Linked DNA regions of Astyanax mexicanus. The protein of the gene in region 2 interacts with the protein of the main gene of each other region in a pairwise test. Links are inferred from orthologs where the notes say so. Each region holds a gene or a part of one and is shown on either strand. Other genes may lie near its edges.

What was found.
Region 1: the proteins of pias4a (region 2) and smad7 interact in a two-hybrid assay, tested with the Homo sapiens proteins (2 studies listed by BioGRID and IntAct). The link is inferred for Astyanax mexicanus from reciprocal best matches to the Homo sapiens genes PIAS4 and SMAD7.
Region 3: the proteins of pias4a (region 2) and DNA-binding protein SATB1 interact in a two-hybrid assay, tested with the Homo sapiens proteins (2 studies listed by BioGRID and IntAct). The link is inferred for Astyanax mexicanus from reciprocal best matches to the Homo sapiens genes PIAS4 and SATB1.
Region 4: the proteins of pias4a (region 2) and smad1 interact in a two-hybrid assay, tested with the Homo sapiens proteins (2 studies listed by BioGRID and IntAct). The link is inferred for Astyanax mexicanus from reciprocal best matches to the Homo sapiens genes PIAS4 and SMAD1.

What each region holds. Positions count from the first base shown.
Region 1 is NC_064424.1:46,992,800-47,000,682, reverse strand, and holds the start of smad7 (mothers against decapentaplegic homolog 7), read left to right. Parts: upstream 1-4,126; 5' UTR 4,127-4,903; coding exon 4,904-5,411; intron 5,412-7,883. UniProt on the Homo sapiens protein: Antagonist of signaling by TGF-beta (transforming growth factor) type 1 receptor superfamily members; has been shown to inhibit TGF-beta (Transforming growth factor) and activin signaling by associating with their receptors thus preventing SMAD2 access.
Region 2 is NC_064423.1:23,645,936-23,654,473, forward strand, and holds the start of pias4a (E3 SUMO-protein ligase PIAS4-A), read left to right. Parts: upstream 1-4,922; 5' UTR 4,923-5,045; coding exon 5,046-5,072; intron 5,073-6,368; coding exon 6,369-6,753; intron 6,754-6,884; coding exon 6,885-6,969; intron 6,970-7,106; coding exon 7,107-7,148; intron 7,149-7,276; coding exon 7,277-7,367; intron 7,368-7,621; coding exon 7,622-7,750; intron 7,751-8,538. Other genes in the region: scamp4 (secretory carrier-associated membrane protein 4), read left to right, coding at 414-531, 1,555-1,737.
Region 3 is NC_064408.1:119,012,676-119,021,020, reverse strand, and holds the start of DNA-binding protein SATB1, read left to right. Parts: upstream 1-4,581; 5' UTR 4,582-5,074; intron 5,075-8,345. UniProt on the Homo sapiens protein: Crucial silencing factor contributing to the initiation of X inactivation mediated by Xist RNA that occurs during embryogenesis and in lymphoma.
Region 4 is NC_064414.1:49,449,923-49,457,985, forward strand, and holds the start of smad1 (mothers against decapentaplegic homolog 1), read left to right. Parts: upstream 1-4,772; 5' UTR 4,773-4,862; exon of another isoform or gene 4,863-4,998; intron 4,999-8,063. UniProt on the Homo sapiens protein: Transcriptional modulator that plays a role in various cellular processes, including embryonic development, cell differentiation, and tissue homeostasis.

The DNA.
Region 1 (7,883 bases), on a different chromosome or scaffold from region 2:
AACAAGTGAGAAAAGCGTGACATTTAGAGCTGCCAAGGGTCTCAGCCGAGCTTCAGGGGTGACGTCTTATTTTGTGCACCGTCCCTGATGACCGTGTATTCACAGCGCCGACAACCAGGAGAAGAATTGGGGAACCCGTACAGTATATAACCCCAAAAAACATAAAGATAATGTATATAAACGCCCTACTGGGATAAGTAGAGGAGTGTGAAGCACTTCAACATCAGTTGTAAAAAGCGCAATATTCAGCTCTAGATAAAAATAAGAGATTACTTGAAAATTATGAGTTTCTTTGATTTTATATAATCAAGAGGAAGACGGATGATCACAAGCCATTAAACCACCAAACTGAACTGCTTGAATTTTTACACCAGGAGTAAAGCAGCATAAAGTTATCCAAAAGCAGTGTGTAAGACTGGTGGAGGAGAACATGATGCCAAGATGGATGAAAAAAACTGATTAAAAACCAACCAGGGTTATTCCACCAAATATTGATTATTTCTGAACTCTTAAAACTTTATGAATATGAACTTGTTTTCTTTGCATTATTTGAGGTCTGAAAGCTTTGCGTCTTTTTTTGTTATTTCAGTCATTTCAGTATTTTCTGTAAATAAATGAAAATATTTTTATTTGGAATTTGGGAGAAATGTTGTCTGTAGTTTATAGAATAAAACAACAATGTTCATTTTACTCAAAAATAAACCTATAAATAGCAAAATCAGAGAAACTGATTCAGAAACTGAAGTGATCTCTTCATTTTTTCAGACCTGTATATATAAATAAATCTGATTTCTCTCATTCAAACACCTCAGAATTGCAGTTTTAAAGCTCAGTTTTAATGCTAATTAGACTGTAAACACTATTTTAGAGGTGCTATTATTAAGCAGCTCTAAAATAAACCTGGGCTGGGTGAAACGTTACTCTTCAGACGTGACCTAAGTGTGAACAGGGCACAGGAAGCAGCCTGACCCGCACCTCACTGATGACGTCTAAGGTCATGCAGGCCTGTCAGGCTGAGGGTGGAACTATCCCAGAGCTACAGGACCACTTTAACAGCCACTTATCCCAGTCATGCAGCTTGTCAGCTGCCGGAGCCCCGAGAGAGCACAGTTGAGTAGAGATCCTTGTCTCTCTGGGTGGGTAGAGTACAGTGGGTGGTGCTCTTCTTTCCCCTCATCACTCCTAGGGTGATGTGGATCAGCACAGGGCGTCTGTGAGCTAATGTATATGTACTGTGCAGAAGTTTAGCGCACCAAAATTCGAAAGTTGTGTGTAGGGGTGTAAGAAAATATCAATATTGTGGTCTCAATAATGGTATTTAATTTTGCAATACAGTATTTTTTTATTTGTATTTATTAGTCTATCTATTCATCTACTTATTTTATTTTTAAACTCATTTCACCAGTTTTCCCATCTCTCTTTCTTCTCTCTTTCTCTCTCTATTCCTCTCTCACTATTCTCATCTTTCTTTTTTCTTCTCCCTCTTTCCCTTTGTTTAGTGATGTAAATATGGCATCAGTAAAAATGTGTTTTTAATCATAAAAGCACTTTATTTACACTAACTCATGTTTTAAAGAGATTGACACCATTATATAAGTATAATTGCATTTTATTTTTTATTTTTTCGATTTTTCAACATTTAAATATCCAGTATAAAATGTCTCAAGAACGTCTATAGAATAAATAATGACGTGCCAATAGCTTATTATTATTTTTTTTTTCCCCAAGGTTCTTATTCTATTGGCAGTACTGTTGAACAGAGACTAGAGGAGCTGTGTGTGTGCATTTGTACATATGTGTCAGCAATGGATGCAGCCAATCTAACCAATATCAGCACAGGTGATTACTAGAGCAGCAGCCAATCCTGGTGCAGAAAACGTATTACTTAATATATTAGTGCAGGAGAAAAGTAATTAGCCAATCCCAGCACTGAAGAAAAGTATCTAGCCAATTCCATTAAAGAACAAATGTAAATAGCCAATCCCAGCACAGAGGACAGAGCACTAGCCAATCACAGCGCAGGAAACGCTCTCCTTCCTCCAGACTACCTTCAGCTGAGAGCGCGAGCTCGGCGCCAGTGAGGAATCCGTGAACAATAGAGACTGAGCCGCAGAGTGGCGCCTCTACACACACACACACACACACACACACCACACACACACATACACACACACACACACAGCCCATCATCATCATCATCATTATGACCCTCCTCCTCCTCTTTTCTGCCCTGCAGCCACACAGACTGGCACCCAAATGACCAAACTGTCTGAGGGACACAAAGAGGGAGCTCTCTCTCTCTTTCTCTCTTTCTCTATCTCTCTCACAGCCAGATGTTACCTCTCTCTCTCTCCCTTCTTACCCTTTCTATCTCTTCTTATTCCTCTCTCTTTCATTAGCTTTCTCATTCTTTCATTACTGTCATTTCTCTTTGTTGTCTCCCTTGTTTCATTCCCTTTCTCTCTTTCAGATCTCTCTCATTCTCTCTTCCTTTCTTTTTTCTCTTTCATTTATTCTCTCTCTCTATTGCCATGTCCTTATATTCCTCTCCCTATTCTCCTTCTCTCTCATAATCTCTTTCTTTCTCTGCCTCTCTCTCTTTTTACATCCCCCTCTCTATTCCCATCTCTCTCTCTCACTTATTGACTCCCTTTCTATCTCTATTCTCTTTCTCTCTTATCTCTCTGATCTGTCTGGTTATCTCTCTTTCTTTCTATCTATCTTTTATTCTGTCTCTATTGCCATCTCTCTGTTTTCCTCTCCCTCTTCTTTTCTCTTTCTGTACTTTCATCTTACTTTCTTCCCTCTCTCTATCACTTTTTCACTCTTTTCCCTCTCTCTCTCTCTCTCTCTCTCTCTCTGTGTTGGATGGTGTGAGCTGGTGGGGTGAGTCAGTATTCTGGTCAGTAATGAGGTTTTCTGGCTCCTGAATGTCAGGCTGGTCTCAGTACTGATAGAGCTGGAGGGGTGTTCAGGGTGGGGGGGTCAGTGTTGGGGGAGGGGGGCGGTGGTGGGTCAGTGGGTCAGGACTGTTGATCTGACCCCGTGAAGCCCCGCGGAAGCGCGCGCAGCTGAGTGAGAGCGCGAGCCTGAGAGCAGAGGAAACAGGTTGAGCCAGAAGGCGGCAGCACTGCGCATGTCCTCAGCTCAGGCCTCCCATCCACTCTCTCTCTCTCTCTCTCTCTCTCTCTCTCTCTCTCACACACACACACACACACAGTAATAACAGTCATACTAGTTTATTTAATTTATTTTCTGGTATACTATCAGTAGTGATTAGAATATGAAATAATAGCATTTTATTATTCGTAACCGTGCTTTATACTATACTTTTATAACCTATATATATTTGTATACATGTGACAATAAAGCTAAAGTGCATATTGATGTCAACCTCTGTTTTCGTAATAATAATAAAAAAAACATTTTTAATGTATACAATATACTAATATGCAATATTTATACAATATACTAATATGTATTTCTCTTTTTTTAATACAAAAAATACTTTTTTCAATTTTGTACCATTTCCGATTATTGACCAGACCTAAAAAAGCTTAAATGGCAAAAATAAAGGGACAAAGTGGGGGGTGTTCTAAAACTTTTGACCGATTTGTGTGTGAATGCATATTCAATATACATGCAATTTATTATTATATTATATTGTATTTTATTACTACTCAATTCATTTTCAATAAAATTCAAGTTTGCTTTATTAGCATGACTGTTTTAAAAATAATGACAAAATCGAACATATAGTAAGCCATCAATTAAAATATTTACAGAAACATTATAAAAAAATAATGACAATAGTAACAACGATAGCAACAGTAATTATAACAATAACAATAGTAGTAATTGTAATAATAATCGGGTATGGTAATATTAGCAGTTCCCAATAATCAGGAGTGTCCGGGAGTGTGATCTATCTAATCTGATCTGAAACTTTGTGCGCGAGACTGAGAGCAGAGTCCCCGCGCGCGCGCCTGTAAAGCTCTGAAGCTACCGGAGCTCGTGTTTGCGCAATACAATCCGCTTTTTTTAAAGCGACATGGTGTCTAGACACGCACGTGACCAGCAGGCGCGCCAATGGAGAGAGAGAGAGAGAGACGGAGAGGGAGAGAGACTGAGAGAGAGAGAGAGAGTGGGGGAAGCTCCAGCTCTCCTCCTCCACTCCTTCATTCCCTCGCGCGTGCTTTCAGGGCTCGGGAACTTCAATCGCTCTGCTGGACGGAACCGACGCGACACGACGCGGAGGAGCTCCGTAGCGCTTCAGTCCAGCGTCATTATTCCAGTGTTAAGCGCGCGCGCCTGCTGATCATCTCCGCCCTGTTTCTGGACCCACAGCCTGGCCGTGGATTGTGTCTGTGGATCTGCGAGGCTTTTTTTCTTGTTTATTATCATTATTATCGCCCTGCTTTGGTGGATAAAAACCCGTGTGGATGTAACGTTCACTAAACTGCCTGGATCTCAAACCTTCACGCACGCACACGTCTCGCGCGCGACCTGTATGGGATGTTTTCATGTTTTCATCCAGAACCTGTGCATTGAGAACCAGAACCTGGAGCGTTTTAGCTTATCGTTTGTGTGTGTATATGTGTGTGTATATTTGTATGCATGAGTGTGGAAGCTGCTAGCTAGGTTACGTTAAGTGTGTATGTATACGTTATACGTGTGTATGTGTGTGTTTATATGTATGAATGCATGTAGCTAATGCAGCTACATCGCGTGTGAGTTGTGCAGAATTATTAAAGAGTAAAGTCTGGCGCATGCTACAGACAGCCTCTGCTGCTGCCGCCTCCTCTCCCGCCTCCTCTCGGCCTGTCTGCCGTCCCGGGACCTTCATGCACTGGGCACGGCGCCATGCTCGCTGTGTAGCCGGGCAACCCTCCCTCAGTGCCGCATGTTCAGGAGCAGACGCTCGGGGCTTGTGCGGCGACTTTGGAGGTGCCGTGCGCCCGTCGACGAAGACGGAGAGGCGGGCAGCGGCGGCGGCAGCAGCGGCGGTGGATCGGGGGGAACGACCGGAGGATCCGGGGGAACCAGCGGGTGCTGCATGGGCAAGCCAGCCGCCGGACATAAGGCCGGCCCCGGCTCCGAGGCCGAACTGAAGGCGCTGACCCACTCGGTGCTGAAGCGGATAAAGGAGAAGCAGCTGGAGGGGCTCCTGCAGGCGGTGGAGTCCCGGGGAGGGGCGCGGAGCCCCTGCCTGCTGCTGCCCGGCAAAGTGGACGCCAAACTCGGACAGCAGTCCTACTCCCTCCCGCTGCTTCTCTTCAAGGTTTTCCGCTGGCCGGACCTCCGGCATGGCGCCGAGCTCAAGCGGCTCCCGGGCTGCGAGTCCTACGGCAAGGTGAACCCGGAGCTCGTCTGCTGCAACCCGCACCACATGAGCAGACTGTGCGAGCTAGGTAAGCCTATATATTAAATATATATATTTTATATATTTTTTATATATTTATAGTTGTATAGCTATAGTATATACTAATCTACACTATTTGTGTTGTAGTAGCATAGTATTTTACATAGCTTATATGTTTTATATATATATATATATATATATATATATATATATATATATATATATATATATGTATATATATATATTTTTTATATGCCTTTTTAAATAATGTATACCATTAACTTAGCTAACTTATAGCCTATATGCACACATCCTTACACTAGCTAAGATATACATACTGGTATACACTTATCTAACATCAAACCTGACATAGCCAGCTTAAACACAGTTATAGTCTTACACAGTTATATAGCTGCTATACAGTAGCTATAGCTTATAGTGTTCAATGTAACTAGGTCATCAGTATTATATAGTACAATTCTACAATATATACTTGATGTATATCATTTACACTTATTTATATTTACTGTATGTATCATATATAAGAATTAGTTATACAGTATATAACCTAGCTAGCTTATATACACTGTATTGACAATATATGCAATATATGTCTTAAACACTTAGCTACAGTTTATAGATAGTATTCTGTGTAGCTACTTAAGACATTATGTATTATATATTACAGCATTACACTACCTTTATTTATACATGTCTGACATAATAATAATACAGTCTTACAAAGTTGTATAGCTACAATAGCTATAGCTTATAGTATCCAGTGTAACTAGGTCATCAGTATCACATAGCACAACATTCCAAAATATACTTATCTATACTTATAGACATATAATGTATTTATCCTATAGCTTTCTTAATGACAAACAAAACATATATATTGTAGTTTTACAATACAATACTTTATTTATTTTTATACGTGTATGTTCAAGTATATCATGATATTATAATACAATTTTATCCCCATAGCTTATATCCCATTTAGCTACTATATTGCATGTTATTGACATGTTATAGGTGTTGCTGTAATATATTAATAAGTCTAATATCTATATATAGACCTGCCATTTATAGGAAAATCTAGCTGACCTATATATACAGTTTATATAATATGATTATATGTTATTTTATTCTAAATCATATGTAGTTACAGTACAAGCTTAATGTTTAGTTAAGCTTATACAGGGCAGTATCTAGAGTTCAGTATCTAATATGTTCATATTACAGCCTTTTGTTATGTATCTGTTATGTTTTTGATGTATGTAATGGATATATTACCCCTGATTGATTGAATACAGTCTTTTCTACAGTCATATTTAATTTCCCCTGCTTTTATAGACTGAAGCTGCTGTTATAAAGGTGCAGACTGAGTGCAGACAGTCAGTCTGTTGACATTTGGCTTTGAGGCGGCCGTGTCTCCTGACCTCAGTATCACTATTAACTCCACTCGCAGGTGGATTTAGAACTATGCAGCAAACCCAGACATCTTGATGATGGATCTGATGATCTAATGTCATGATTTAAAGCCTTAAAAGTATGAAATCTGATTATATAAGAGATTTAAAGCAGTAAAATGAAGGATGTTGTTTGTTAGCAGTTTCAGTATAGCAGGTTTTAATACATATATGTACTGTTCAGTCATAAGAGAAACTAAAATGACTTATATACTTATATTTACGTTTACAAAGTTAAATATTTAACAAATTCACTCATTCCTTACTCATTATTCTCACTTATTATTATCTGTAATCTTTTATTTATCATTTAGTAGCTCAACTTTAATTATAAAAGCAAGAATCCGACATGTAGGCCAACATACTGACCCTTTACTTACTTAAGTGGATGAAGTTACTTAATGTGTGTATATTTTTTGTATTATTCAGTAGCTATTTTTTATCATTCTAGAGCTTAAAATAAAAATAATATGTCAGTTTATGTGTCTGTAGTTAAAAGAGTTGGGAAATTGAAAAGCCAACGTTTAAAACAGCAAACTTTTAAACAGGTTTTTGTTAAAATAATGACCCATATCTAAATTGTTGATTATTATGTAGTGATTTAGATTCTTAGATTCTTCAATTAGCCTTTTAAAATATATATATTAACATATCTGATACTCCTAGAAGTTCAGAGGCATTTTAAAACATTTATTACATTTATTTATTACATTATATTTATTAAGACCAGCTAAATCAGAATGAGAGATATCGCTGCGAGCGTAGAGATGCGCAATATTACAATATTTTATCGTAGTGTTTTACTTTTTTGAGTACTCTAAGGCCTGTCACAATAATCATGCATAGTCATGCTTCAATAACTGTGACTCCATATATATATACACATACACACAGTGTGGAAGTAGGTAAAGAAATGGGTATATAATTCCCAAACTAATTATAATAAATGATTTGTTCAATTTTTGTCGTCTTTAAAAAGTGTTTAATTTCTTTTCTTTAAGCTATCCTGTTATCATCGTGTCAGTGGCATTTAATAGTTTAAAAATAGC
Region 2 (8,538 bases):
GCTTTTAAAGATGCCTGGATTTGTTTTTGTGTATAAAAATAGCCTCTACTTCAAATGATCACATTTTAAGTTCCACTAGCTTTGATATTGTAATGCATTGTTGCTAACAGCAGAATCCAACCACCACATAAACTGACACTGAAAAGATGGTAAAATATTCACTTGAGTTAACTATAGGAAACTATAAGAAATAGTTTTTAACCTGAGTTCTCACAACAATTTTAAACAGTATTTTAAATGGTCAGATCACTGAATGAGCTCAGCTGTTCCATCAGAGAAGACTGAATTCTGATCATCATCACATGATTCGGTGTGCAGATAAATAGGTGAAAGATACAAGACCTGGTAATGACTAACCCAGTTTACCTCTGTCTTTCTCTCTCACTCGCTCACCCCTTCATGCCTTGCTCTAGTGGTTGGATAGCAACAGTGATGTTTTTCGGCACTAACGTGGGATCGGCTGTGGTTATGCTTTTCTCGGCTGTGCTGTTCACTGTAAACACAGTGTTCATGGGGCTGGTTCTTATCAGGGTAAGTCTAGTGCAAAGCATACTAAACTGCCTATATAAGACACACCTTAAAGGAATATTCCAGATCTTCATATAACTTATGGCCGTTAGTTAATTATAGATGTGTATGGACTTTTTTTTCCATTTTCTGAGAACTGTTAACATTGGCAGTTTTGAGTCAGCAGTTTTCAAATTCTTTTACTAGTTTTAAGAAAACGCATCAGACATAAACTAGGTAAAAAAAAATGCTTCTTTAGTGTGGTCTTTAGGACCACAGGACCCTGTTTATTCCACCTAATTTTCTCGCAAAGACAGATGTTGTAATGCATTTACACTGTATGTATAAACACTAGCATGCAGAAGAACGTTGAACTTGTCTTTTGAAGACTAAGAATGTTAGCGCAGGGAAATCAGCAAACTGGTATAGACTCAGCTCCCTGTTGCCTGTCATATTAAATAAATGAAGAAATTAATGCTATAATCATGTAATGTAATCTGATAACTTATTGTAACTTTTATAATATATGCAAGGATTAACTCTAGTATCAGAATTTATTTTTCTATTTTCCAAAAGCCTATGTAGTCCAAAATTAGGCTTACGGTAATTCCGTCTCAGAAATTGACCCTTATTGTATAAAGTCGCATCAAACAGTCCTGTGTCTACACAAAACAATCTGAGGTCCACATTAACAATTGTGTGTTCTTGTATAACAAATCTCCCATCTAATACACTCTCTTATAGAGTATAGTATTCTTTGTAATGAAAAACCTTTTAGAGGAATGTTTTTTTTTTAAGTACTCTGGTGGACATTAAGTTGGTTTCACACACTGTTGAACATAAAGTGTGGTAGTATATGGGATTCTAATTGGCTCTGGCTCTAAAACTAGCTTTTCAGAGATTCTGATTGTATCTGCTTCAGTTTGACTTACTGTCCCAACCCTGTTACATGTTTTTGCCATTTTTACCCAAACCTAATTGAATCATTGCATAATGTAAGTATCAAAAAGAGTGATAAATGTTGCATATTTTGATTTCTCTTTTCAGGTTCACCGGCTTTATCGTGGAGGAGGAGGCAGCTTCCAGCGTGCCCAAGAGGAATGGACCACCGGTGCTTGGAAGAGTGCCCCTGTGAGAGAAGCTGGCTTCAATGCCATCGCTGAGACTGGCCCAAGTCTTCCTCAGTACCCTGCTGCTGTGCCCAGTTATCCAGAAAGTGGACCATGGTGATGAACCATTCCAGACTCCAGGTGGAGCCAGAGTGCTCTATTTGTCCCCCTGCGTATAGCAGATATCTTAACTTCATGCCTCCACATGAATGACATAACAGTGAAACTGTGCAAGTCTAGAGAAAGGGGACTAAACATCCCGTATAGGAATCCATTGTACTTTTGTTTACAAATTACGTTGCCAAACCGGTTACACAATGACTTGTGCATATGTGAAAGAATGTAAGTAATGTTACTTGATAAAACAATCATGCAAATAAGGTACTGCTCACAATCAAGCCGTGGCAGCTTTAAAAAATTTCATTGGGACTGTGAAAACACTTTTAATTGCAGAATTGCTGAATTATAACACTACGGTTTTTTTTTTCACCAAGTGATTCCTTACACTACAGTAAGTGCACCCATTAACTGTGCAGCAGACCTTCTTTGACCTTTTGCTGAAAATGCTACATATTTTCAAGAAAAAAAACTGACACGAGTTAAAGGTGTTTAACTATATTTATCAAATACTGATATGACTGGCAGTAGCTAGACCTTTTATACATCAGAAATGTGCATAAGAATTGCATGCTTTTTATTTGCAGATAAGATTTTATTATATTTTTTTGTTCTCAGTGCCATGCCTTTTCTATCTGCTGCTTTGTGCCTGATCTTTAAAACTGACATGCGCCTTAATAGTCCTAGCATGTGCAAAGAATTATCTTTCCAGTTGCCTGAAGTTCTGCAGTTCCGTGAGTGGATATGGCCACGTCCATTTATGCAGAATTATTATTATTGCTATTATTATTTGCTCAGTGCAGTCAGCACTCTTCTTCTTCCTCCTAAATAACCATTACTTATGATTTCAGGCCCTGCTGTTGAAGTATACATTCCTTATGCCAATGTTTGTTCCAGCTCTCTTGTTTCAGTGTGTTCCTATTTGGAGCACCATGTTTACAGAGTGGCCATTTGAACCTGGGTTTTGAAATATTGTGAATTTAGTTGTTTTACTTTATTTTTATCTCTTGAATTTTCCATTTCATCTCTGGGCTCCATCTCATGTATAGTGATGACTAACATATGACTGTAAAATAAATGCATTGAGAAATGTATTATTGAGACAGCTAACTTAATAAAAACATTCCTTTTCAGATTGAATGTCTTTTTTGTAGTCTCTAATCAACAACATGTCCTAAAACAGGAAGGGGCAGTTTTCAGTCTCTTGTTATTTCTTGAATATTGATGACCGAGTTATAGTTTGCTAAACGTTAAACAGTACTTTTAACCATGAATTCTTTAGTGAATATTTAATCCTAACAGCTTTGGTCCAGCAAACACCTCTAAATAAGTAAAGTACTATCCTACAGAGCAGAATTTTGCTTATTATGGCAGAACTGTAGACAAGAAGACACCTGATACAGCATCAGCAATGTATCACCAGCTAGGATTACCTGGCAATAAATCTGGTGCTAAAAATGATTTCAGTTTTTGTTTAATGCAAAATGTACAAAACAAAGCAAGCACTAAATAAGTACTAATTATTTAAGTGTCATGAAACATGAGTATCATCACCGAATCAGTAATAATGAGTGTGACCTGGCAACCATGTAAACTCATGTAAGCAATCCTAAAGTCTTAAGATCTTAAAATAAAGGTATTAATGCCCAAAAGGCATATAAGAAGATAGCAAAGCTTTCTTATGGAACAATGTTAAAAGAAAGTTACATGACATAATTAAAATAATAAAAAGTTATGAAAACTAAGAACAAAAATAAAAGAAATAAAGTACTAAAAGTATGCAACGGAGATTAAGTTAAACTGTTGGGGAAGCCCAGGTAAACAGATATGTTTTCAGGTTACAGTCTGGACACATCTCACAGCTTCTGGGAGTTTATTAACAAAGTCAGCATAATGTCAAATACATCTCAATGGGCTCTCCTTGTTAAGAAAAACGTAATAAGAAAGATTTAGGTGATCAAAAATGATTTCGGTCATGTCCACATATAGTACAATAACTTGGTAACATAATTATTGTAACAGGCCTAACAACTGTATATAAAAAGAATGTGGTCTGTGAATGTCTCGCCAATTAAATAAAAACAGTAAAAATAAATATATTTAATGATAGCTGCCATTCAGCATTTTAATTATATTGATATTGTTGTACTTTAACCCCAGTATGCAGGAGAACAGAAGAACCACAACTAAAAAGTGTATTTAAAAGTGTATAAATAAAACACAGAGCAACTGCTCCCCCGCATGTCTGCACCAGGCCTCAACTGGTTCAGTCATGTCCTTCTTCTACACAGTGAACTGTTCCTAAGAGAGCCTGACATCAAACCAACAGAAATAAACACCACAGCTCTATCACACTGACTACAATTGTGAGTATATTGCAATGTATTATCACTTATCATTTCAGCAAGAAAAAAGAATGCTTACAGAAATTTTACCCCAGCCCTGAATAATTAACTATAATTGTAAGGGTAAGAATCTGGTGAAAATGTCTTTTTGATTGATTTGGATTTGAATTCCCTTAATATGTTCAATCCAGCTTTAAGAGGGTTTGCTTTTCTTATCAGACTAGTGGTGACAATTCATAGCCCTGATTCTTTTACCCCGCTCACTGTTCAACATTCCCTTTGCTCCCATCCCCCACCGCTCACACTCAACCAGTAAAACACGGCATGGAGTTGGGTGGGGAATGTGCACAATTGATTTTTCCATTCCATCTCCTAGTCCAGTCTTATTTCCTCGCTCCTGCTGATTAAACCATAAGTTCAATCTCATCTCAGTTTATGATAACAGCGTTTTATATTGCCGAAAGCATTCGTGGCCTTTTAAACGCGTTGGTGTGAAACAAGCAGGTAGAAATTAAACAAAAGCGTTTATTCCTGAATGTTGGGTCGCCAAAATCCCGACATGGATTTTCCCACGCGGGTCGGAGCCGGCGGAGCCACGCGCTCCCGTCCACTTCACGCTGAGCGTCCTCCGCCCGCTCTGAGCCTGGACTGAAAATACACCGGGCTTTCGCCCTCTCTCCAGACTATTAAAGCAGGCACGCCGGAGGATGAAATTCACACAGTGTTTGGACGGGTTTACAACAACCAGCGGCCTATGAGGACGGATAGACCTGCCTGCAAGTGCTCTTTTTTTAAAAGAGCGCTGTGACTTTAAACGCACGAAGCCACGCCTCGCTCCAGACAACACCGCCCACTTAGTGACGTTCAGGGCGCTGATTGGACGCGGCGGGCCGTCTCCGAAGGCGGTCGGCTCTTTTCATTGGTCTGCAGCTGCCGTTCGCCTGAGGACTCTCGCTGCTTTGTGAAGATGGCGGCCGAACTGGTAGAAGCGATGGTGAGTGGATGCGCGCTTTTGTTTTTCTTTGCGGGAAATAAAAGTGCTTTCCGGGAGCAAAGAGGAGCCGGTTGATGTTGGTTTCGGCAGCGGTGTGAGCGCTGAACAGCGTGTCACGGCGGTTTTATTCCCGCTCTTAGCCAGTGAACTGCGTTGGCAGTTGAGCAGGAGCTAAGCTGGTTAGCTAGCGGCTAACGTTAAATGAATGATGGGACTTCAAAACAGCTCAACTGACTGAGAACAGTAGCACTTTGCTCATACAAAACCTCGAGCTGAGGTCCGGGCTTAACTAAACATCCGCAGCTCCTGCTTAACAGGGCATTGGCGGGTCAGGCTGGTAGTCTGACAACTAGTATTAAAGCTGGGAAATGAGTGATCTGCTGCTCAGCTCATCCGGTGCCCCCTCCGCACTCGCAATAGCCTCCAGTAGCCGTTTAGCTAACCTAGCTAGCGTTAGCTAGCACACACTGTATGTACTACAGCAGCAGCAGCGTGTGTTTATGATGGGCTAACAGCTACCAAAGAGCTTCACAAGTAGACTGCTGAGTTGACTAAGACAGTTCATTAGTAGTGTTTTATGTATTATTGGTTTAGTAGGTTAACTGTGAACTATGAACACGGTGATCATGGTCATTTAGTGTAAACAGATGAAGCATTATGAAGGGCTTGCGTAGCTACAAACTGGCGGGTAAACCCTAGTTAGCTACTCGCTAGCTTAGCTAGGTTAGTATGAGATGATGTATGTAGGCTGGCATGGTGTTATGCTATTAGCTAGGTAGCTAATAGCTTTGATAGCTATCATAAACCGTTAATAATCTACTAATACTGTTATAAGCAAGCTATAAGACACGAGTTATATAGAAAGCTCTGGAATAAAGCTTCGTTGATTTTGCCAAATTAAAAAAAAACAGGAATATAATTAAGAGGAAGATGGATGATCACAAGCCATCAAACTATGCTGAACTGCTTGAATTTTTGCCCCAGGAGGAAATATTGATTTCTGAAAACATTGTAAATATAAACTTGTTTTCTTTGCATTATTTGAGGTTTGTCAATAGATTAAATATTTACTCACTAAATGTCAGTGCTTTCCACATGTTTACACCATACTGTTATTTAAATGACATTTATATCCGATGTACAGCTGTTTTCTTTTTTAAGTGATCAAAGGCATAATGGAAATAATTGTTAACTAATCGACTAATAAAAAAAATCATCAGATTATTTATAGACACTCTAACTGTGTTTACTCTTATTTTTCTTTTCTCTCTCCACGCCTGCTACTCCTCTGGTCAGAACATGGTGAAGAGTTTCCGGGTGTCTGACCTGCAGACACTGCTGGCCTCGATGGGGCGCAGTAAAAGCGGTCTAAAGCAGGACTTGGTGGGGAGAGCTTTGAGACTGGTGCAGACGGAATACAGCCCAGAGCTGCTGAAGAACGTCCGCCAGCTCTATGAGACACGCTTTCCCAAGTCGACTGGATGGTTGGCTGCCCGTCGCCCTGAGGGGGTCCCGGCAGTCTCCTACCCTACCCTAAACAACTCTCCTCGAGGCACAGCCCAGGGCACAGACTACCTCAATGGCATGCCCAAGCTGGCCGCACCGCCAGCAGCCGAAGTTAAATTAGTGCCCTTGCCCTTCTACCATAACTTAGAAACGTTGTTGCCACCTACAGAGCTAAGTAAGTCATGGTTTTGTTTTGGTTTGGTTTTCACGAATTGTCACTGGTTTTTTGTTGTTGGATGTGTTCATTGACCATTAGAGGTTGAAAGGCTGATGTTAGACTCTATTAAATCTTGCTATGCTTTGCAGTTGCCCAGAACAGTGAGAAACTTCAGGATAGTCAGTGTGTTTTTGAACTAACACAGGGCCAGGTGGACCAGATCCGAAATTCCGGGTGAGTAATAGCTGAAAAAGGGCAAATAGACATAAGTACCTTTTTATTATAGGTAGTTTGTTTTTAGTATTATCTGTGTTTCCACATCTATATCTTGTGTTTTTAAAAGAAATGCAAAACTGTTTTTGTGTTCTCAGTGAACTTCGTGCAGGGGTGAAATCAGTTCAGGTGGTTCTTAGGTGAGTCTGTTTTAATGTGTCTTTTTGTTTTGTTTCTTTATTTGTGTGCTATTGGATTATTGGACTGTGTAGATGTGTTGTTTTCAGTTCTAATTTTTTGAATATTCATCCTTTTTCGTCTTTTTCAGAATCTGTTACACAGACTCCATTGGTGTTCAGGAGGACCAGTACCCTCCGAATATTGCTGTCAAAGTGAATCAGTCCTACTGTCATGTCCCAGTAAGTGCATTCATGTCGGTTTCTTGAACTTGTAAATTCAGACCTAATGCACTTTACTTCTAACTCGCAGATTTAATTTGATTTGATTTGATTTGTGATTCATAACGGAAATTAAGAGAAGTCTTTTTTTTTTTTTTTACAGATTTTATTCAAAATAGTTTATCTATGCAATGTTTGCAAAAAAACATTTCTCTGGGATGATGTTTTTTCAGAATTTCTATTAAATATTTACCTTCGTCACCTGTCATTTCCAGGGTTATTATCCTTCAAATAAACCTGGTGTGGAACCTCGTCGGCCCTGTCGCCCTATAAACATCACACCCTGGCTTCATCTCTCCACAGCCACCAACAGAGTTACCATCACATGGGGTAACTTTGGAAAGGTAGATTGGCTTTTAACAATTTTATTCATATATTTCTTATATGTGAGTAGGCCGGTCACGAAAACGTAATTTTCAGGACGATATATTGTCCTATATTTATTGCGATAAACAATAAATTTGTCATTTTAAAGGGGGACTATATGAAATTCTTTTTTTTCGTGCTTCTGGCCTCCCAAAGGAACTGTGCCACAGTAATAAAATACTAGCACAATATTACTATTACACCATTTTACAGTGAAATTAACTTTTTATTAATAAGAACAGACATTGGGCTTCCAATATAGGTACAACCACTCTGGGACTCTGTGGGTTTTGAGAGAACTGCACTAAATATTAAACACTTTAAAAAAATAAAAATAAATAAATAAATAAAGTAACAAAAAATAGATTAAAGTAACATTTACATTAATTCAACTTTTTTTGAACACACTTTCAGATTCCTTTTTCTGATCATATACTGTATGTATATGCTATAAAACACACGTTAGCTCAAAAACACAAGTGTTTATATGATCAAAGACAGATAACTCAGCAGGCCACAGCTCTTGCAATGAATGTATTTTTTTAATGTAACTGTCAGACAAATTCAGAGTAAGCAACACCAACATGTTTACCGTGTGGGACTTGAGGCAGTATCTCTCTGGGAACAATTTTTATATCCAATATTTATCTTGTGAAATTGGGCTTTAAATGAGATCTCTGGTTAGTGGCTTTTGTTGCCACTATGAAGCTGTTAAGTTTTGAGCAATTCCTATTAGCCTCGAAGACATTCGCAAGCTAACACATCT
Region 3 (8,345 bases), on a different chromosome or scaffold from region 2:
TATATATATATATATATATATATATATATATATATATAATATGCATGATATATGATACCATACTGATAGAAATGCAGGGTGCAAATCAAGCACAAATGCAAGTTGTACATAATTTTTGCACCTTAAAATGGGCAAAATGTCCCATAATTAAGACTTTGTAGTAGTATTTAATTGTTGTAGGTTTATGTTTGAGTAAAATGAACCTTGTAGTTTTATTCTATAAACTACAGACAATGCTTCTCCCAAATTCCAAATAAAAATATCGTCATTTAAAGTGTTTATTTGCAGAAATTGAGAAATGGCTGAAATAACCAAAAAGATGCAGAGCGAAAACAAGTTCATATTCATTTCAGTTCAGTTCAGTTCATATTTCTGAACTTTTAGAGTTTTAGAGTTCAGAAATCAATATTTTGTGGAATAACCCTAGTTTTTAATGCATGTTCTCCTCCACCAGTCTTACACACTGCTTTTGGATAACTTTATGCCACTCCTGGTGCAAAGAAAAAAAATGTATATATAGAAGTAAAGGGTGCAGTAAAGTGTCAAAATATGTAATAAATAGCACAAATAATATATTGTCACTGTCCAATGAAAAACAATTATCTCCAAAACAGCAACTTTACAGAACAGATAAAAAAACTCTTTAAACTTTCAATGGTAGTCAATGTAAAAAAAGAGTTTATTTCAGGTCATTTTAAAGTATTTCTATTGGTCCATTTATCAATAGATTTTGGCACAGTTTAAGGGACAGTTTGTCTGTTCAAATTATGTAGTAAACTAAAAACTGACAAAAATGGAGATACTTGTTTTTTTATGGACAGCAATGATATATATATATATATATATAAATTTGTACAATATATGCATTTTATTATTATGCTTTGCATTATTTTGATATGATTTATTGCTGATAGAAATAAAGGGTGCATTCACTGCAAGTGTGTGAATTAAGCATATATGCAATTTTTGCAAATAGTAAAAAGCAGTAATAGTAAATAGTATATATTATAAACTCTATATACACCATATTTGCATTTTGGATTGTGCAGTATATTGATATATTGAGTAAATGTTTTACTGCTTCATGGCAGGTGTATGAGTTTAGAGCATGGGTAAAAAGTGGGGGAGGTAATGTAACTCAAAATGAGTCAATTTATTAGTTATATGAATTAGAACATATATAACAGTATATATCCATTTGTCAGCTGATGATAAGAACCAATGCTGATGATAAGTTATAAATAACATTTACTAAATATATCAATATACTGCAAAAAACAAAATGCAAATATGCTGTATATCGAGTATATAATATATACTATTGCTACTTTTTACTACTTGCAACAATTGCAATTATGCTTAATTCACACACTTGCAGTGAATGCACCCTTTACAATAAATCTACAATGAATTATATAAAAATAATATATTGCATTATAATACGGAGAATGAGAGAAGGAGAGGTTGATTAGTGGACTCTCAGGTTATGTAGAGGTGTGAGGTGTGAGGTATGATGCTGCTGCTGAAGTGTGTTTTGGACAGATGCTCCTCGCAGTGGTGTGAGAGTGACCCAGTTTCTGCTGCTGCTGCTTCTGCTGCTGCTGGACGCTCTGCACCTCCACCTCACCCTGTTTCCACAGGATGAAGCTCAGCCTACACAGCAGCAGTGGGTCGGGGGGTCGGTGTGGGGGTGAGTGAGTGGGAAACTGGGGTGAGGATGGTGAGGAGGGGGCTTTTGAGGGTTGAGGGTTTTGTTTTTTGTTCCCTTCACTGCGGCACGGAGACAAGCAGCGGAAACCTAGAGAGCTGACCAACAGGTGTGTGTGTGTGTGTGGGAGAGAGAGAAGGGGGACTGCAACTTCTGAAAAGGCTTCATTCCGAGCTCACAGCATTTATCCGCAATAAATAAAGGAAATAAACACATCAGTAAAGAGGAAGCAATTGTTGAAGTGAATAAATATAAATAGAGATCAAACAAACAAACAAATAAACAAACAAATAAATAAATGCTATTTATAGAAATAGGTGGTAAATGAATGCATGATGATATATTTATATATATGCGAAATAAGTAAATATGGAGCTGAATAAATTACACAAGTAAATGAATTGATGAATGAATAAGCAAGTAAGTACGTAAATAAATCATTCAATTCAATGAATAAATAAATAAATAAATAAATAAATAAATGATATATTCATGGACAAATACATTAATACATTAATAAACAATGCCACATACTGCAAAAAATGAATAAATAAATGAACCGGAGCATTTATTAATAAGTAAATAACCAAGATAAGCAAAAGTTAAAAAATAAATAATATTTTTAAAAAGTAAGAAAGAAAGGATAAAGGAAAATGAAAAAGAATAATATATAATGTGCTTTTTATATTTAATACTACCTCTTTCTTTCTCTGCTCTATATAAAGCCACTTACAAAGGATGAGTTTCTGTGATTTTACCAAACTGAAAACCTCTGGAATACAGGGGGAAGATTGTATTCCAGAGTCATCAAACCAAGCTGAACTTGCTTTTTTTTCCAAAAGCAGTGTGTAAGACTGGTGGAGGAGAACATGATGCCAAGATGCATAAAAACTTTGATTAAAAACCAGGGTTATTCCACCAAATATTGATTTCTGAACTCTTAAAATTGTATGAATATGAATTTGGTTTCTTTGCATTATTTGAGGTCTGAAAGTTCTGCATCTTTTTATTTTGTTTATTTCAGTCATTTCTTATTTTCTGCAAATAAATGCTCTAAATGACAATTTGGAAGAAATGTTGTCTGTATATATATATATATATATATATATATATATATATATATATATATATATATATATACTATATATAAAATAAAAAATGAAATAAAATATAATACAAATGATAAAAACTCCACCTCAAACCCTTCAGTAATTATTCATTGCATCTTAAACAATACTTAAATTTTACTGTAATATTTTTAAACCAAATAATAACAAAGTTTGTCAGTAAAATGACCCTTTTAGAAAAATAAGCTACAGCTTTAATTTGCTCGTTGCTTTCCTGTTCGTAGTAGGTTTTCTGCTCTGCTGAGAAATGAGCAGTTTCTGGTTCAGTAGGAGCACAACGGTGTTATAACACACACACACACACACACACCTGCTGAAGCTCACATCTGCACTCACTCACCTGTGCACTGTGTAACTGCGTGAAATAATCAGCATTTTTGCACTGAAAGTCAGTGACAGCGCAGTGGATTTAAATATTTAAATATTTAAACCGAGTTAAACTCATCACGCAAGATTTGGTGTGAATGTGTGCCCTCTTGGCCACGCCCCTTTTCCTTGAAGCGTGCGGTTTTCCCGCGGGTTTGTTTCCCCACATGTATTCTGATGTTCTCGTCCAAAAGTTCCTTATCTATCATGTCTGCTGAAAACTGTGTAATATTGCTGTGAAGATATATGATATGATGTAATATATTGTAGAGGGGCGTGGCTAACACTGAAAAAGATAAATATATGCAAGTTTTAGAATGTGCCATAATTTGCAGCAATGTTCCTTGTATTGTACCATCAAATACAGTTTATCCAATTGTGATGGATTACATCACATTTAATCCATTGGGGGCATCGTAAGCCCTGAATTGTGATATATATCGTAGAGAAGTAATAAAATACAAATATTTTAAGACAACTTTTTTGTTCTCGTTACTCCTATTTCATTTCAGTTGGTTTTCATTCCGGCTTCTCATCCTTCAATAAAACCCCTATCCAGATAAATCTCTCCATCCAGATAGAGTGAATCTGATTGTGACTGGATGTAGAGAAGTATAAACATATACCATTCCGACTCCCTATTGGTTTATACTGTGATCCATCACACCTGCACCAGAAGATCATTTGTGCAGAGACTCAGATATATTTGCATTTTACTTATATTCTTATATTCCTTATTGTGCTATCTTACTGTACGATTGTTGTCTATCTATCTATCTATCTATCTATCTATCTATCTATCTATCTATCTATCTATCTATCTATCTATCTATCTATCTATCTGTTCCACCCGATGTTCAGGTAAGCCACGCCCCTCTATTGCAATGATTGACTAATTAGTCAATCATCCTGGACTTTTTTATCAAAAAAAAAAAAAAAAATTTATTTTTAGTTATATCTTATGAGGTATAGTTAATTTTCATGCTGTTCTCAGTTAGCATCTTTTATAGTCTTATATTCTTTACTGTGCTTTCTTACATAGATAAATCTATCTATCTATCTATCTATCTATCTATCTATCTATCTATCTATCTATCTATCTATCTATCTATCTATCTATCTATCAGGTAAGCCCCGCCCCTGTTATTGCTATGATTGATTAATTAGTCAATCATCCTGGTTTTTCTTTCTAAAAAAACAAAACAAAACAGAGAGAACAAACTCCTGACCAATCGCGGAACAGGTGGGCGGGGCTTTGTGTGGAAAACGGGTGGGGAAAGAAATCAACAACAACATCACACCACCGGAGAGAGTAGTATAGCGCAGCACGAGCGAGATAGATCAAAGTGGGGCACGCGCGAGAGCAGACGCGTGAGGTCTAGAGAGAGAAGGAGAGAGAGAGCGATAGAGCTGGCACGAGGCGGAGACGGGGCGGTTCATTTTTTCATACCTGCCCCCGCATCCCACCCCTCTTCTTGCCCCTCCGCCCCCCTCCAGTCCCCTAACACCCCCTCCCACTCCCGCAGGCAGCTCTATCCCGGACCACAGGTCCCGCGCTGCCCGCATTTCTCGCGCTGCCTCGCCGCGCGCCTCCGAACTTTGCTGATTTTGAACTGAGCTCGAACTGAATTTGAACTGAGCGCGCGCGAGTGACCGTTGGCGTCCAGTAACGGTCGCTTTCTAACGGACTCCTCGCGATTCTGCGGCTATATTTTCATTTATTTTGGTTAATTTAGTTAATTTTGAGGAGTTTTCTCGCCTTTTCCGAAGCTGTCAAGGTGGGAAGCGAGGCGAGACGAAGCCGGTCAGCTTTGGATGGGAAAAGAAGAGAAAAAAGCTGCGAAAAACGAGAAAGAACAACGCAAAACGAAAGGTGAGTGGCTAAACGTCTAGTTGAAGCATTAGTTAAGCTTACGTTAAGTTTTTTTTCTTTTTTTGCGTTTACCTCTGTTACAGGTAACGTCTAACGTCTAAGGTATCGTTAAACGATGCCTGGACTTTAAACGTTCATTAACTTACAGGTGTACGGTAAAAAAAAGAATATCGAATAGACGTTGCTCTTTGGTTGCGTTTAACCTAACTACAGTTAAGTAGTTGAGTTTTTAAGATGCTGATGGAAAAACGTTTAACATTTAAACAACGTTTAAATGGGTTACTTAAAACTGCTTGCTTCATAGGCGTCAGTTAATCAGTTGAAATTATGACTTTGATTCAACGTTTATTTTAAGGCTTTGAAAATCACAAGTTAAGCATTAACTTGCACGTGTAAGGTGAAATGAATATTGAGTTGACGTTGCACTTTGCTCTTTGGTTGCGTTTAAACTCAATTTCTGAAGTTTTAAGTTGTTATTGGTAAAACATTTAAAACATTAAAAAACGTGCAGGTTACTTGAAACTGCCTCATATGCATCAGTTCGTGCTGAAATTCTTACATTGATTAAACGTTTATGCTTTTGTTTTTTATGAGAAAGGTGCTTGCGACAAATAATATAAATTATAATAAGTATAATAATAGTAATGGTTGTCAATATTATTAAAATTGAACTTTCTACACTGTATGTTTGCACATATTTAAGTTTAATACATGCAACACATATAAAACGTATAAACGTTAAACCCATATTAAATCTACGTATCAGTCAATCAGTCAGTGTTTACAAACAATTAAACTCTGACATCGGACATAAACGCTGTTTCAGAGCATTGGAGAAGAAAAAAAAATATATATATATATCGTTAATTCAACAAAATTGAGCGTTAACGTCTGTTGCTGATAACGTCTAACGTCTAATATTATTGATAAAAGTTATTTTATGATATGGTTTTATGATAGAAAAGAGAGGTAAACTGAAGAAGAACAACACAAAACACGAAGTGAGTGGCTGGCATTGCATCGCATTGAGTTTTAACGTTAACTTCAGTTGTCATCAACATCTAACGTCTACTTGGACTTATACAGGTGTAGGCTAGCTTGGTTTTAATCTGAGCTGCGTTTTACTACAAACCGGTTAAACAGCTAGTTAAACATCTTCACACTTACTTAGTTAACTAGCTAAGTGAATGAATTAGCTGGCAGTTAATTAGTTAGTGACTGAAGCCCCCCCCTTCACACATCTATCTAACGTTAACTAAGGCAGAAAGAAAACACCACCTGCTCCCAAAACAAGCTCTCTCCATTATTGACGAGCCTCCATCCCTCACTGTCACATCCCTTTGCTGTCCTCTTTCATCAATCGCCTGATAAAGAATAGATAAGGCCAGGAAAAAAGGTGTGCACTCAATTCTTAAACACTTCTCTTTTATAAGCACTTCAAGAATTAATGCCTCATGCTGTTCTGCTGCTATTTAACTCAAGATTTTTCAGCTCAAGATTTTTGTGTCACACTGATAGAAGTCAAGAGTACCATACATCCATGCAAAGTGATGCTCCTAACTTAGTGCAACACAAACTAAGCCTTAAAAGTTATTTTTATTAAGTAAAATTAACTGTTAGTAGTAGAACATATTGCTATTATGTAGTCATGCTTTTTAATTTAGCTTTTAGTCTTGTTTTATTGCATTTTGATCTTAATATTATAAGCACAACTTCTCTATCATCAATATCAGTTTATACTAATAGAATTAAAGGGGAGAGTCACTGCAAGGGTATGAATTGTAAGCAACGTAATGCAAATAAGATTCAAAGGGCCAAAAATCCTGTTTTATTTCATTGTTTATTCATTTAAAACTCGTCAAAATCAATAGCTTATACTGATAAAAGTAATCAGGACAATAATTGGTAGGTAAAGCAGCAAACTCAAAACAAATCCAAACATCTCGTAATTAAAGATAGTTAATAGTTATTAGAATATTTATATTTATATATGTGTGTATATTTATTTATATACATTTTCAGATTTTTTTAAGCAGTATAATGCAGTTTTTTTCATCAATTTATCATAAGCACTAATCCATTTTTAGATGTTTAATAGTACAAGCAGTGCAGCTGTATGAGTTAATCACACTTTAACTTGTCAGAATGCGTGAGAAAAGCCATATCTAATAATAATAATAATAATAATAATAATAATAATAATAATAATAATAACAAAAAAAAATGCATTAAATCTCTAACTAAACAAAAGTCTCTTTAGTTTAGTTTCATTTTCATTTCCGCATTTTTTTTTTGCAAACATCTCTATGTCTTTATGTATTTGCTTTATATATATACCTGTCCTGAGTATCATAAGCTGAATAAGGGACCAAACCTGTGTGTCCTGAGTAAATGTCTTCCAGATGTGCAAGATAAGCATTTGTGCATCGTATCTATTTAGCTAATAAAACGAAATAAAAAAGCACAAATCACCCAGAAAAGTTTATGATAGCACAAAGGAACACTCTTTATATATATTATAAGATAAAATCTGTATTAACATTAAATGAAATCCAATTAACTACAATAAAGTAACTGTTTTTTTGGTTTATGTCTATTGGATTGAAAGCCTGTGCTTAACATTTTATGTTAGATTTGATATTGACCTTTTTGTTCACAAGCCATCCTTAAAATAAACACTAAAATAAACAAACATGAAAAAAATGTGTTCTAAATGAGGTCTTTTAGTTTATTTAATTTTGGCTCTAGTGCTGTTTTTTTTTTTTTTTCTCCAGTGCAGTGATCAAGGCTGAGCTATTGTTTCATTGGCTTATAAACTTTTAAGTCTATTCTGATTTAAAAACAATTAGTGTCTCAGTTAGTGTTACAGGCAACAAAACGTTTGAAAAATATAAGAAAATACATGATGTCCATTGTAATGCATGCACAGTCTGAAAGGGTTAAGCACAGTTATGTTTAAGCAAAAAGTGCACAGTAGCTTTGGTAGTGTTAAACTAGCTAAATCAACAATGTGTAGGTAAGTTAACACAGCTCAAAATGACTAAAAAAGCATGCAATTTATATATGCAATTATATTTGCATGGCTTTATAGGATATATACATCATTTTTTATGTTTGCAACTTGTCTGTCTGTCTGTTTCTTGCAAACTTGCATGCTTTCTGCACGCAGACGAAGCGACAGCACTAGACTTTATCAAGCAGACCTTATTCTGTCTAAATTAGATCTAGCCGTCCACCCTCATCCGGCAGGGGCTTAAAACCCCCCTGTCAC
Region 4 (8,063 bases), on a different chromosome or scaffold from region 2:
CACTGGGCTAAATCTGAAAGGCCTTGGAGACAGGCAGCATTTAAACATCAGCACTACAGCCCTTATTTCTAGAAAGGCTTTGGCAAAGCGCCGTGTCACTGGAGGCGCCTGTTTGTAACGCGAGCCGGCCTGCAGAGCGTAAGAATGAAACTGTTCGCTCGGCCGGTTCCTCATGAGAATCCTTTTTATTCGCCAAGCGCAGGATGTGCTCGGACTCTGCCTCGGTGTACGTGTCATTTAAATGTCATTTAATGTCAATGCAGGAGTCATTTAAATGTCAGTTATATAAAATAAAAATAACAACATAAACAAGACATATCTACTGATAACATACTCATAAATATATATGGCTTAGTTCCTCAGTATAAAGAGTTTGACATTTAAGTCTATATTAGTGTTGATTAGGGACACAATATTTCACAATATTTCAAGGTATTTCTGCAATAACGATAATCTTGCCAGTATGAAAAAAAAAAACATAATTTTATTAATATGAAGAATATTCTACCGCAACAAAAGAAATCCAAGTAAATCCCTACCAAGGATATGAATTTGTCTAAAATAGTATTAATGAAACAAAATAAATGATGTAACAATAGAATAATGCAATATAATCAATATATATTACAATAACCCTCAGGGGCGGGTTTATTCAAATGAGACGGCTGTCTCTCCACAGTCTTTCACCCTCCTCTGGTCTCTACTGCGCAGACTCTGGTTTCAGGATCGCCAACATGGAGGAAAAATTTTGCTTCATTTTCATTAAATGAATGGGAACGGCGACACAGCGTCCGTCTTTTTACAGTCTCTGGTCTGAATTGAATCTTCTGATATGACACTCCTGGAAAAAACTCCTCAATTTTATTTATGGTCCTTCTTTTGTTTTGAAGCCGGTCTGGGTTCGTTGGGTGCTCAGCTCCCAGAATCGCCCCTGGGAGGAGATAAGCATGAATCTATTTGCACCATGTCTAATGCCTGGCATCGTCTAGAGAGGAACAGTGTGCTCTGAAATGATGGTACTACATCCAGTACTTTTGGAATTAGTTGAAAAGTTGGGATGAGGTGGGATCATTAGTCTTCTAACATCCTGGCCTAACGTATGCTCTTTGTATTGTATGCAATCAGATCTTCACAGCAAATCTCCAAAATCTAGAAGAAACCCTTCCCTGCAGAGTAGAGACAGTTACTCCAACAAAAGCACAATAGACTCAATACTTTGGGCTGTCCATCACCCTGCTGCATTTAGTGTTCTCTACTTTGTTAAGAAATTGTGTTGTCTGAATAATAATAATAATAATAATAATAATAATATCAGTGATCAGTTTTTATAGCAATTATAAATTCTGTTTAGTCTACACTTACTGGTAGATTTAAACTGGGTCTGGTTCAGCGGTTGCTGCAGTTGAACTGTCCGGACTAAAAGTGACTGCAGCTGTTGTCCATCTACATCCCCAAAGCCTGGTGTGAGGGTTTCGGCCAACTGTGTGTGATTACAGCGTTCAGTTGTGTAGAACAGCTTTAGGAAAAACACTTTTGATAAATGAACTGTGACTGTGCTGGAACACTGTTTGTGGACGTCTGAACTAAACCGAAGCCCTGGCCAATGGCAATGAGTATCCAGTACCAGTCAAAAGTTTGGATACACCTCAAATTAAGAGGTTTGTCATCATTTAAATAAAATGTTCTGTATTGTAGATTAATACTAAAGTCATATAAAATATGTAGAAAAACATGGAATTCTTTAGTGAGTCATCTGGAATTCAGGCTTTCAGTTAACAGCTGTGCTCATCAAGAGTTAATGACTTGAATTTCTTGTCTCTTAATGTGTTTGAGAGCATCAGTTGTAAAGTAGTGAAGAGGTAGAGTTACAGGTATACAGTGAATAGCTCTATTTGAGTAATGTTCTCATAATATATATTACGAGAAGCAAAAACTAATCAAATAAATAAAGAAAAAAAAATACTTTAAGAAATGAGAGTCAGTCAATCCGAAAAATGTAAAGAACTTTGAAAGTATCCTCAAGTGCAGTCACAAAGATAATCAAAAACGTTATGATGAAACTGGCTCTCATCAGGACCGCTCTGATCTGACAGACTGCCAGCAACTGCAGTAAAACCAGAATAAGAACCAGAATAAGATCTGCAGAACCAACACATAGAATTACTAACAGAATGCACATGCTCTAATTAGACCTGATACTGTCTCTCTTCCTTTCTTTCTTTTACTTTCTCTCTTTTTTACTGTCTCTATCTTTCTCTCTCTTTCACTGTATCTGTTTTTCTCTCATTGGCTTTCTCTTTCACATTCTCTTTCTCTCTGTCTCTCTTTCACTGTCTCTATCTCTTTTTACTTTTTGTCTCTCTCTTTCACTTTATCTGTCTTTCTCTGTTTTTCTCTCATTGACTGTACTGTCTTTCTCTCTCTGTCTCTTTTTTATTCTCTCTCATTGGCTGTCTCTTTTACACTCTCACTCTCTCATCCACTGTCTCTCTCTTTCGCTGTCCCTCTCTCTCATTTGCTCTCATTCTCTCTCTCAGTCTTATCTGTTTTTATTTCTCTCACACTCACTGTCTCACTCTGTCTGTCTTGCTCTCTCACTGACTCTCTTTTTCTCTCTTATTCACTCTCTTTTTGTCTGTCTCTCACTCACTGTCTTTCTCTCTCTCGCTCTCTCACTCTCACTGCCTCTCTCTCTCTCTCTCTCTCTCTCTCTCTCTCTCTCTCTCTCTCTCTCTCTCTCACACACACACACACACTCGCAGTGTTTTCCCAGATTTCACATTCACGTGCAGCTTACTCGCGCCTCACTCAGACATTCTGTCGCCAACCGCGTGACGTCACTCGCGCTAGCACCACCTCCCACTGCCGGGTGTCTCCTTCCGCCGCCGGATCCGCACAGTAAAATAGTCCCGCGCAGAGTGCTGACCCGCGCGCGAGATGCGCATAAAATCACATTTTATTTATTTATTATTTTTTATTTAGCAAAACTACACGGCCTGTATTATTTTAACGAGATATATCGGGCCTGATAAGAACCGACTTTAAATTAAACTCTGAGACTCTCTCATTACTTTTATACCTTTATGAGTTTATAACTTTATTTTATGAAGTGAAAAGATGTTCCTATAGATAAGAACATATTATAGTTAAATATGACTCATGCCATATTACTAGAATGAATATAATACCATAAAATAAATCCATAATCATTTTACAAATTAATTAAAAGCAACAATAACAATCAATATCGTGTTAAAGAAAAAAAAATAATAAATAATATAAAAGTAAAACAATTTTCCTAGCATTCTGGGCCCTTTTTGTGGACACATTTATCATGTTTTTTTGACAGCTATAAATGACAGCTGTATTAAACTATTTAAAAAAAAATTAAGCAGGTTTTTCTAGCAAGGTAAAAGTATGCAGAATATATCTACACTCTGTTTAGAAATATTCAAAAGTCTGTTTACAGTCTTCTCACAGCGTAGACAGATATATACAATAAAGCACATTATATGAAAAGATGAATAGAGAGATAAACAGCATATAATCACACTTTTACAGATACAGAAAAATAATAATTGTCTAATGCTTATTTGCATGCAGAAACTTTTCTAAACTATAAACCAGTGAGACTTACTGATAGTAAGAGACTTTCTGAGAGGTATATTAGCTTTAATAATCTGCTTTGCTTCGGTAACTTTAGACCAAAAAGCCTGTTCATTAAATAAAAATATTATTCATGTACATATTATTAGCTATACCTGCCAAACTTACAACCCTATGATCAATAATCCAGTGCAATAAATTCATATCGGTCATAATTTAGTAGCAGGTTTTAATTAAATCAGCTAAATCATTTACAAAGTCTGATAAAATTTTATTAATTATTAAATTTACATTTAATGTTTCAGTATTTTAATAGATGGTAAAAAACAAGTAGAAATTTTTAAAAATTTACATTATACAATAATATCATCGCTGTCCAATGAAAAACAACTTTACATGAGGGATGTAAAATCTCTTAACTTTCAACAGAAGTCTATGTAAAAAGAGTTAATTTCAGGTATTTTTGGAGAATTCCTTTTGGACCATTTATCAGGCATTTGTGACACAGTGTGAGGGACAGTGTGTATATTCAAATTATGTAGTAAACTAAAAAAAAATTATATTGGACAGTGACTATTGGCTGTTGTCCATTGTGTTTATTAAGTTAAAATATCACAATAACATAAACGAATCAGCTGGTATGTTGCTTTGTTTATAAACATCATTTTATTCATTTTGTTTTTTGTTTTGCTCCATTTTTATAGTAATATAAAGTTATTTAAAGTAATGCATGCTTGCCTTATTATGATATTCCATGATAATTGTATCAGTGACATACAATGGTTTTGATAAAATGACAATAATACTGAATATTTGCAATTAATATTATATTAATAATTAACATTATATTAATCTAAAATTTCCAAAAATTCCAAAAATTAGTACTTATCATGACAAGTGGTGCTTTTTATTAAGGGACACGTTTCTATTAAGATAATATATCATTGTTTGTTGTTTGAAATCGACAGAAGTTAAAAAGTAGAGAAATTAGGATCTTCCCAGCCTAACTTCCAATTCCACCTTAAATAAGCTCTGCTCTAATGCAGACGTCCCGGCGGAGGTTCAAGCAACACACTGACTTTTTAAGGTGGAACGGAACATTCGAATTGAAACTAAGCAACCGGACCTCGCTCCATGCCGCGAAGTGATTGGAGTAGTTTTGTGCGGAGGGTGATGCGGCCGGCGCCGCTCTGTCTCTGGGCGAAAGCGGATCAGCTCGAGCTGAGAGGAGCGGAGCTGCGGAGGAGGCGCGCGAGGTACCGCAAAACTTCAGCTTTTCTGCTTAAAACACGTGTTTTACTGCATGCTGCTGGCCCGCAAGCGCGCACGAGCGGGGAACTTTACTCCTGAACTTTTTGCTCTGTCCTGGTGAACTTTCAGAAGTTGTTGAAGGTTTGTAGAGGGAGCTGTATGTGTGTGTGTGTGTGTGTTTGTGTGTGTGTGTGTGTGTGTGTGTGTGTGTGTGTGTGTGTGAATGTGATATGCATTCAAATGTGATTTATCACATCTGCTTATCACAACATGTTTTGGTCACTTGTGTTTGTGCTTGCTGCAGGTTCTGCATGGTGGGCTGTAAGAGTGTCTGCATGATGCACACCCATCCCATCATGCACTAGTGTTCACTGTTGATGTTTTGGGGGTGACAAGGGTCCAGTTTTGGGCTTATGAGATGTTAAAATGGGCTAAACCTCTAAATAGCACTGCATGTCCTCTAGTGTGACACATAGCTTAGAACCTAGAACTTCTCAGTGCTTCTATCACTACTTGATAGACACTGTTCTAGTGTCTGTGTTTGAAGGATCATTGAATGCCATCATGTCCAGGGCTTCCAAACCTCTGTAAACCAATATACATGTCCTCTGGTGTGACAAATGGCTGAATGTGGAGCTTTTCAATTATATTCTGTTTGTGCTGGTTCTTTTGTGGTGCTTATGCTTGAAGGATCAGTAAATGTCCATATCTTTAGGGTCTCTAGAACTCTGTAAACAATTATGTGTCCTCTGGTGTGACACATAGCTTAGAGGCTTAGAACATCTCAATAGACACTGTGATCTTCCAGCTAGTTTTCTAGTGTCTATGTTTGAAGGATCAGTGAATGCCAACATGTTTGGGGCTTCCAAACCTCTGTAAACAATACATGTCAACTGGTGTAACAAGGTGGAGCTTCTTAATTCATACTTTTGCTGTTTTATTCTGAACACATACCGGTTTGTTTGTGGTGTCTTTAAGCTTTAAAACCTCTGTAAACAATTGTTTGTCCTATGGTGTGACTAATAGTTAAGCAACACAATTGATAAATGACAGAACTTGAAGTTTTTAAGTGGACACTTATGCTGATCTAGTGTGATCAGACCCTGCTTTGTGGTAATCATGCTTAAAGGATCAAAGATTGTCCATATATTGTCCACACATAAACATATAAAAATATTGCATGTCCTCTGGTGTGACAAATGGCAGAATATAGGGCTTCTTAGATGACACCCATACTGTTAAATTCTGATCATACACTGGTTTGTGGTGACCATGCTTCAAGAATTAGTCAATAATCATATCTTTCTGTTCTCTTAACCAGTATAAACCATTGCATGTGTGACTGTTTGCAGAACTTATAGATTCTCAGTTGACACCATTGCTGTTTGCATTAGTCTGGTAATACACTGGTTTGTTAGTGGTGACCATGCTTGATGGATCAGTGAGTGCCAAGTCCTTTGTGGTCTCTACACTTTTGTAAACCATTGCATGTCCTCTGGTGTGACAAATGGCAGAGCGTAGGGCTTCTTAAGTGACACCCATACTGTTATTTTCTGACCACACACTGGTTTTTGGTGACCATGCTTCAATAATCATGCTTCTGTTCTCTAAACCACTACAAACCATTGCATGTCCTCTTGCATGACTGTTTGCAGACATCATTAATCTTTGTATTACACTGGCTTGTTAGTTGTGACCATGCTTGATGGATTAGTGAATGACAACATCTTTGTGGTCCCTAAAACTTCTGTAAATCATTGCATGTCCTCTGGAATGACCAATGCAGAGCTTAGAACCTCTCAATTGACACCCATGCTGTTCTCATCTGAACACACAAGGGTTTGTTTGTAGTGACCATGCATGAAGAATGTAGAATCCGTGATTGCCTATATATGTGGGGTCTTTAAAACCCTATATACCACTAGATGTCCTCTGGTGTGACAAATGACAGAACTTAGGGCTTCTTAATTTTCTCCAAAATGTAAATTGGGCCCTATACATGTCACTCATTAGGCCAATCATGGTGCATCAGAGAGCACTCTGCATGTGGGAGCTGATAGACCACAGTCAGTATTCCTGACATCATTGAAGATGACATATCAGATTACTCAAAGGACAAGAATTCGTCCTTGTCCACGCTTTGGTTGGATTGTTTAGTCCCAGGGCGAGCTGCAGGATTGTATCTGGGTAGAACATGCTGTGTGGGGAAGGTGCAGGTTCTGGCTCGGTTGGTCTGAACAAAAAAAGCAAATCAAGGTTGCTCCCACTTTCTCATGAACTGCAAATCAGCCCATAATATTGGATATCAATAATGAAGGTTCCTTCGTCCTTATGCCATCCTTTCTGACTTTAAAATTTGAGGTTTTCTGGCAGGACTTTTATTGTATGTGATGTTTTATGTGTGGGAGATTCACTTATGTAAGACAAGGTCAGTGTATTGCATTGTGTTCACAATCAGACTTTTTCTCATCTGTTTATTTAAAACTATGAAAGGGGAAGTCCATCAACTTTTTCAAATTCCTGCTTAATATAGTCACTGTAGTCAAAGTCCTTCACTCACTGTTTTGAAACGTGAGGGTCTGTTGTAGAGATGACACAGTGGTGCTGATGGGAACCTAGAAACTAGAGATGACTCTGCCTACTATACAGACAGACAGACAGGAAGGAAGGAAGACCATTTAGGAACAATGTATATGTACACTGTATTGCTGTCTAAAACCACCAGTGAATCTACATATACAGTACTGTGCAAAAGATTTTATGCACCAAATCAAACTTGGTGCATAACTAATCCATTTATCTCAGCAATACGTGTGTTTTTACCTGAAAATGCACCACATATGATTTGAACAGATGCAAATAAACACAAATACAGTAAAATGTAACAAGGAATTCTCATTTTTAACTATGAGTATGTTATATCCTGTGAGCCAAGCTGAAGAACAAAGTGTAGAGATTCCAGATTTCTCCTGGATGCTCCTCAGCCAGCATGTGTATATTATGTTCAGTTCCGTCAGCAGCTCACCTGATTTACCAATTTACCAAAGCAGGTGTTGATTAGTATGATGAGAACTAGAAATAACTCCATTAAACTCAGATGAGTAGAGATTAGAAGATGTTTTAAGGAAAACAGGGCTGAATTTTATCAGTCAGGTATTAAGGAGCAGTAAAGCCACTCAGCTGAAGTACAGAGTTATAAAAGAGTT